Macaca fascicularis: one gene and its partner. The protein of the gene in region 1 purifies or fractionates together with the protein of each later gene. This does not show direct contact. Links are inferred from orthologs where the notes say so. Each region holds a gene or a part of one and is shown in the gene's direction. Other genes may lie near its edges.

The links. The genes of interacting proteins can lie anywhere in the genome.
Region 2: the proteins of MLF2 (region 1) and BAG2 purify together in Homo sapiens (affinity purification with mass spectrometry; 4 studies listed by BioGRID and IntAct, with this or other methods). This does not show direct contact. The link is inferred for Macaca fascicularis from reciprocal best matches to the Homo sapiens genes MLF2 and BAG2.

What each region holds. Positions count from the first base shown.
Region 1 is NC_088385.1:7,675,652-7,678,699, reverse strand, and holds the end of MLF2 (myeloid leukemia factor 2), read left to right. Parts: coding exon 1-33; intron 34-201; coding exon 202-361; intron 362-1,550; coding exon 1,551-1,738; 3' UTR 1,739-1,763; intron 1,764-1,983; 3' UTR 1,984-2,518; downstream 2,519-3,048.
Region 2 is NC_088378.1:114,546,461-114,550,209, reverse strand, and holds the start of BAG2 (BAG family molecular chaperone regulator 2), read left to right. Parts: upstream 1-1,121; 5' UTR 1,122-1,495; coding exon 1,496-1,608; intron 1,609-1,658; exon of another isoform or gene 1,659-3,205; intron 3,206-3,749. UniProt on the Homo sapiens protein: Co-chaperone for HSP70 and HSC70 chaperone proteins. Acts as a nucleotide-exchange factor (NEF) promoting the release of ADP from the HSP70 and HSC70 proteins thereby triggering client/substrate protein release.

The sequences.
Region 1 (3,048 bases):
GAGACATCAGAGATGCGCTCGGCACCAGGCGGGGTGAGTGGGGGGCCCTCCTGTCCCAGAGAAGGGGGGATTGAGCGGCACCGCCAGAAACCCTGGCTGCTTTTTTCCGGATTGGGTTGTGTGTGGTGTGTTTCTCCTGAGATGGTATAGCCAGGGCTTTGGAAGGGGCGGCTGAGTGTGCCATGTTCTGCCTCATCCCAGATCCGGGAGACACGGAGGACTGTTCGGGATTCAGACAGTGGACTGGAGCAGATGTCCATCGGGCATCACATCCGGGACAGGGCCCACATCCTCCAGCGCTCCCGAAACCATCGCACGGGGGACCAGGAGGAGCGGCAGGACTATATCAACCTGGATGAGAGTGAGCCTTCCCTCCCACTTCCTGGCCGGCAGCCCCTAGCCCAGTTCCTGTGGGCTAGGAGACATCCCTAACTCATAAACACTTCTGGGCAGGCCGGGCGCGGTGGCTCAAGCCTGTAATCCCAGCACTTTGGGAGGCCGAGACGGGCGGATCACGAGGTCAGGAGATCGAGACCATCCTGGTTAACACGGTGAAACCCCGTCTCTACTAAAAAATACAAAAAACTAGCCGGGCGAGGTGGCGGGCGCCTGTAGTCCCAGCTACTCGGGAGGCTGAGGCAGGAGAATGGCGTGAACCCGGGAGGCGGAGCTTGCAGTGAGCTGAGATCCGGCCACTGCAGTCCAGCCTGGGTGACAGAGCGAGACTCCGTCTCAAAAAAAAAAAAAAAAAAAAAAAAAACTTCTGGGCAAAGCTCTGGATCAGCCCCATATATATATATATATATTTTTTTTTTCTTTTGAGACGGAGTCTCGCTCTTGTTGCCCAGGCTGGAGTGCAGTGCCGCGATCTCAGCTCACTGCAACCTCCGCCTCCCCGGTTTAAGCGATTCTCCTGCCTCAGCCTCCCGAGTAGCTGGGACTACAGGTATGTACCACCACGCCCAGCTAATTTCTGTATTTTTAGTAGAGACGGGGTTTCATCATGTTGGCCAGGCTGGTCTCAAACTCCTGACCTCAGGTGATCCACCTGCCTCGGCCTCCCAAAGTGCTGGGATTACAGGCGTGAGCCACCGCGCCCGGCTGTCAGCCCCATATTTTTACGCACTCGGAGCCTCCTCCGCTCAGGGGCTGAGTCAGGTGCCGGCGGTGTCTTTGAGAGGGGCCTGCTTTGTCCCTGAAGTTCCGTATTGATAGTGTTACACTCTTCTCCACCTGGATCTGTTTCTTTCTCCCCTCTTTATCTTTTTCAAATCCGCAATTATTAAGTACTTAGTGTGCACACAGGACTATGAACCTGAACTGAAGAAGAATCCCATTCTGATTTCTTCCTCCAGTAGGCCACCTTAGGCCTACCGGTGGCTTCCCGGGATCGTGCAGAAACCAAAGAGCTAAGGGAATTGCCGCCCCACCCACCCCTGCACACACACTCAGCCTTCGCCGCTTTGGCCGGAGAAGCTGTGACTCGCTCGCACATCGGCCTCCAGGAGCCAGGCCGCACACAGGCCTCATGTGGACTCCGTCCCCTCCAGGTGAGGCCGCAGCGTTTGACGACGAGTGGCGGCGGGAGACGTCCCGATTCCGGCAGCAGCGCCCCCTGGAGTTTCGGCGGCTTGAGTCCTCAGGGGCGGGGGGACGAAGGGCGGAGGGGCCTCCCCGCTTGGCCATCCAGGGACCTGAGGACTCCCCTTCCCGACAGTCCCGCCGCTATGACTGGTGAGGGCCCCGGGCCCTCAGCCTCTCTTGTAAGTATCAGGGGTAAGGAGGGCGGGGTGCACCTGCGGATGGTCCTCGGCCGCGAGGCAGGCGCAGTCCAGGCTCCCGCAGGAGCTGCCTTTGATAGTGCGAGTTGGTGTGGAAAGAGAACAATGTTCTCACTGACATAGGCGATTAAACCCCAACTCCTGGCTCTTAACATAAGTTTTTTCTTCCTTTTGATTTGTGCTCCTCTCTTTTCCCCTCCAGGTACAGGCTGAGAGGCTGAGAAATCATCCCCTGAATAACTTTTTCCTCTCTGATTCCCATCCCCAATTTAATATTAAATTAACAGGCAAGCCGGCCCCCACCTCTCCCTGGGGGTCTCAGGGAGAACCTTTCCCTACTTTTTCCTTCTTTAATCCCCTTACCATGATGACTTCGCCTCTGCATCTACTAACTTGATTTTTCATTCTGCTGCTCCATCTTCAAACCCCTCACCTTTCCCATTCTACTCCTGCCATGCATTGAAGGGTCTTTTGGGGTGAGCTCTGGGTTTAGGGGCCTCCTCCATCCCTCAGCTACCCTGGATCTTTGCCCACCTCTTCCTCAGAGCCCCCACTGAGGGGCCGTAGCCCTGTCTAGGGCTGTGGAAGGAGCAGACTGGTTCCCAACTCTTTCTCCCTACTCCTGCCCACACACATCACCAGAATCTTCCCTAAACCCTTCCCTGCCTTTATTTTTTGATTTGTGCAACTTGTAACTAGGTGTTTATGGAATAAAGGAGAATAGAAAAAAGACCAAATGGGATTCTGGCTGTACTTTTGATCTTTTCCTGTTCAATTCAACCCTCCTGTCTCCTCTGAAGTTATCTTCTCACTTTTCCTCATCTCCACGTGTAGCTTTCGTACCTCAGAGTTCAAGCCCACATCTCCTTGGTGCGGAGAGACCATCAGCACTGGCAGGTGCAGGCCATCAGCACTTGGCTGGGCTAGGCTGGGGCGTGAGAACATGAGCACGTGCCTCGCTGGCTCTCCCCTCACATTCTGCTGTCACTTTTCTCTTCAGGGATGCATTGGGCATCTCTCATGGGTGCCTGCAGAACTTGCTGCCCCTTGCTCCTTAGGCAGAGTTTCTTTCCTGCACTCTGGGTGGAAACACTTCAGATAACCCTGCACAGGCCTTCAGAGGGGAGGAACTCTGGTCTGCAGCGTTCCACAAACCCTCCACCCACAGTAGTTGAGAATTTGAGCCCAGGGAAGAAGACTAGAGAAGAAAACTTAACCTGGAACCTGAGCATGACTGGAAGGGCATGAGGAGCTCAAATTTCTCAAG
Region 2 (3,749 bases), on another chromosome or scaffold:
TACATTAACATCCTTGCAGTGAGAGGCATAGAGCTATCAGGAGAGGGGACCAAAACCTAACTTTTTAAGTAGACTAATCTTTGTATCCTCAGCTCTATTCCATCTTTTACCGACAGCTGGTGCCTGACCTAGAGGCCTACTGCATCTTTTTGTTAACATTAAAAGTTGGCCTGGCGCGGTGGCTCAAGCCTGTAATCCCAGCACTTTGGGAGGCCGAGACGGGTGGATCACGAGGTCAGGAGATCGAGACCATCCTGGCTAACACGGTGAAACCCCGTCTCTACTAAAAAATACAAAAAACTACCCGGGCGTGGTGGCGGGTGCCTGTAGTCCCAGCTACTTGTGAGGCTGAGGCAGGAGAATGGCGTGAACCCGGGAGGCGGAGCTTGCAGTGAGCTGAGATCCGGCCACTGCACTCCAGCCTGGGCCACAGAGCGAGACTCGGTCTCAAAAAAAAAAAAAAAAAAAAAAAATTAAAAGTTGAGGACTTCTTAATGCCAATTATTTCACTCAGAATATTTATTTATTTATTTAGACAAGGTATCGTTCTGTTGCCCAGGCTGGAGTGCAGTGGCGAGATCTCGGCTCACTCAACAGGAATAATTTTAATAGCAAAAATTAAAAACTCCTTCATTAAGCCGGGCGTGGTGGTTCACACCTGTAATCCTTAGAATGATAAAAATGAAGTAAATTCACTTTGTTTCCTACATCTACCTAGATAGGGAAAGATGGAGTAGCTTTTTCTTTTTTACTTAATAGCTTCAGCGTTGTCCGGGCATTCGTTACTCTCATCTTAGTATAAAGTGGTAACAGGAAGGTCAGGTGAGTGTGGGCTGCCTAGGAGCTGCACTTAACTGCCTTCTGTTTCACAAAAGGACCTTTTCTCCCTATATCACAGGACCCTTAATGTCGTTGTTCTTGCTTTGAATTATGGGTGCTGGAAGAAACTAAACGAAGCCATCACTGAGCAATACACCCACAACCCATCGACCGATAGGAACCTTCGTGTGGGGGAAGTTGGTTACTTTTAGGCTGCACGAAGAGGCGGGGCCACGCGGGGCGGAGCTGGGGGTGGTCTGTGGGTCCGGGCGGGCTTCGGGTAGTTCCTGGGTCCGAGGAGCAGACGATCCGCTGGCCACATTAGGCGCTCAGTCTCTGCGTCTGCCCCTCCCCGTGCCTCAGAGACTTGCGCTCCCCAGGCCCGAGCCCCTATCGGCCCATCCTCGAGCCCCTGTGGCCCGCGAACCTCTTAATTCCAGCCGCTGCAGCCCCCTCCCAGGCCCGGCGTCCCCGAGCCCCGCGGGCGCCGCGCCTGCCCTTCTTTGGCCACGCGGCAGCCGCGGTGTCGGCGAGTCCTCCCGGGTTGCCCCCGCGGGCGTCAGAGGGAGGGCGGGCGCCCGCGTGGTGACGGCGACGCCTGCAGCCCGAGGAGCGCTCCACTCGCCGCCGCCGGAGGGGCCGGTGACCTCTCGGCTGCCCCGCGTCGGAGGCTTAGATGGCTCAGGCGAAGATCAACGCTAAAGCCAACGAGGGGCGCTTCTGCCGCTCCTCCTCCATGGCCGACCGCTCCAGCCGCCTGCTGGAGAGCCTGGACCAGCTGGAGCTCAGGTGAGCCGCGGGCGGGCGGGCGGTCTCGGGCGTTCTGCTCGCCGCGCGGGCGGTTAGCGGACGGAGGCCGCGTGTGGCGGGCCGGGCCCTGGGGCACAGTGAGGCTGCGGCAACAGAAGTTGCTTGTTGAGATTTGTTGTGGATGGACGTGGTGTAGTTTTGTTTATTTCTTGGATTTTCTCCCCTTGTCCAAGAGAAAACGCATTGTAAGCTAAACCTGTGAGGGCGTGATGGTGGCCACACTTTGATTAACTTACCTAGGTGTTGGGGAGCAGGAAAAAGAGGAGATAAAAGTTAAGAGGTGAGATTCCATGCGATTAACGACTGTGGCAGCGTGGGTCTGCAGAGCTTCTAGAACCTTCTGTGTGGCCCCAAATGTTTTTAACTTACTCTTCTCCCGTCATACATTTTTAAGGGAGGCAGCAGTTTACAGTGGCCCTCCACGTGAAGTTAAGTTTCCTTGCTTCAGAACACTTAAAAGAGCAAAAATGAATAAAACAAAACCAACCCAGCAATCCATTGAGACCAAAGATTAGAGAGGAGTGAGGGGTAGGCAGTAAGTTACCGGGTGCTTCGTGCAGTAAAGACGTTGCGGCTTCTCTTTATCCCCTGACCTGGCGGACGGGATTCCGCGGTTCCGTTTGTCTCTCAGTATTTATTGGGCACCTCCCTACATAGAAGACGAAGTGTTAGTCACTGGCCTGAAAGTATGAAAAGATAGTTTTCCCTTTTTCTTGCTTAAGATTTTATTAGGTAATATAGTAGTAGACTTGTACAGAATTTCTAAACAATATAATGTTAATAGATTTTTGGAAAGACTTTAACGGTATATTGAAAAGTTTTATCTACTTCCTGTGAACGTTTGTCTCAAGTTACTGTGTAAATTTTGTGAGCAACTGTAGTTAAAAGAAAACCTTGTTAGGCACCTGGAATTCCCTGAAACTGTACACAGGAGTTGGTTCCATAGTTTTCTCTAGGTTGTGCATGAGCAAAGAAGCATGTGAGCCAAAAAGTTCAGGAAACACTGCATGTGTGTTTTATCTCCCTCCATTAATACACCCAAATATGAAGTGTCCGTTTGCCGAGAAAATACTTCAAAACCACGGCATCTCTTTTAACAAGTAAGGCATTATTATTGTTACTATTGGGAGAAAAGAGCCAGAGAGTGAGAGATTCTCCGCTCAAAATAATTTCTTGGATGGCAGCAGAGAAACCTAAGCCCTACACGAGGTTCTGGGGTTCCACTCAGAATGAGGCAAGTGGAAGAGAGAAATAATGCTTCCTCATGGATTTTCACAATACTAGCAAACCTGACCCGTTCCACTCCCAGAAAAAGTAAAGCGCAAGTAGAAATTGGTGGCCTCAGTTACTGGAAGTCCCTCTAACTGATGTTTCTTTTTAGGGAGCCGCATAACAAGTAACACACCTCTCTCCATGTCTTCAGAACGTTGAGGGCATGTTCTCAACCACTTCACTCGCTCTCCCCTAGTTAGAAAGAAAAGATTTTTTCCTAAAGGAATGGGTAGGATGTTACTCCACCCCGCCTTCCTTCAAGCTGAGTCATTGTCCTCAAACTTGAATTAATGCCTCACATGTGGTAGGTACAAAAGCCCTCTGAAGTGCTCCTCTTAAAAAGAAAGCCTCAGGTTTTGAATATTATTATATTCTAATGTTTGATTAATGTAAAATGAATTCTGATTACTGCACATCAGTGATTAAATTACAACTTGCTTAATTAACATTTGAGCTGAGGAGAAAAGTGATTAATATGTGGCTGTTCATTTCAAGGACTTTTTTTAGTAATTCTAGACTTTTGTAGGCCTTTTTTTTCTTTTTAAAAAAGTAATACTAGCTGAAAAGGAAGGATTTCCTAAGGTAAGCAAAAATAGAGAAAAATGCTAACATTGATCCTATTAAAGTGTTTTTTTGAAACCACATGGGCAATGGCATAGAACACTACACTATTAAAAACTAGAATCATGCGTACAAGATCGATTTTTAAATGAAAACATGAAACTCATATGTAATTTTGCTCTAATAGTTTGATTTTATGTTAACTAATAAAGTAGTGTAACTGGGTAGAATAAAACCTTACCGTTTGTACTTAGAAGTGTGCACGTAATGTTCCCTAACCACATCAT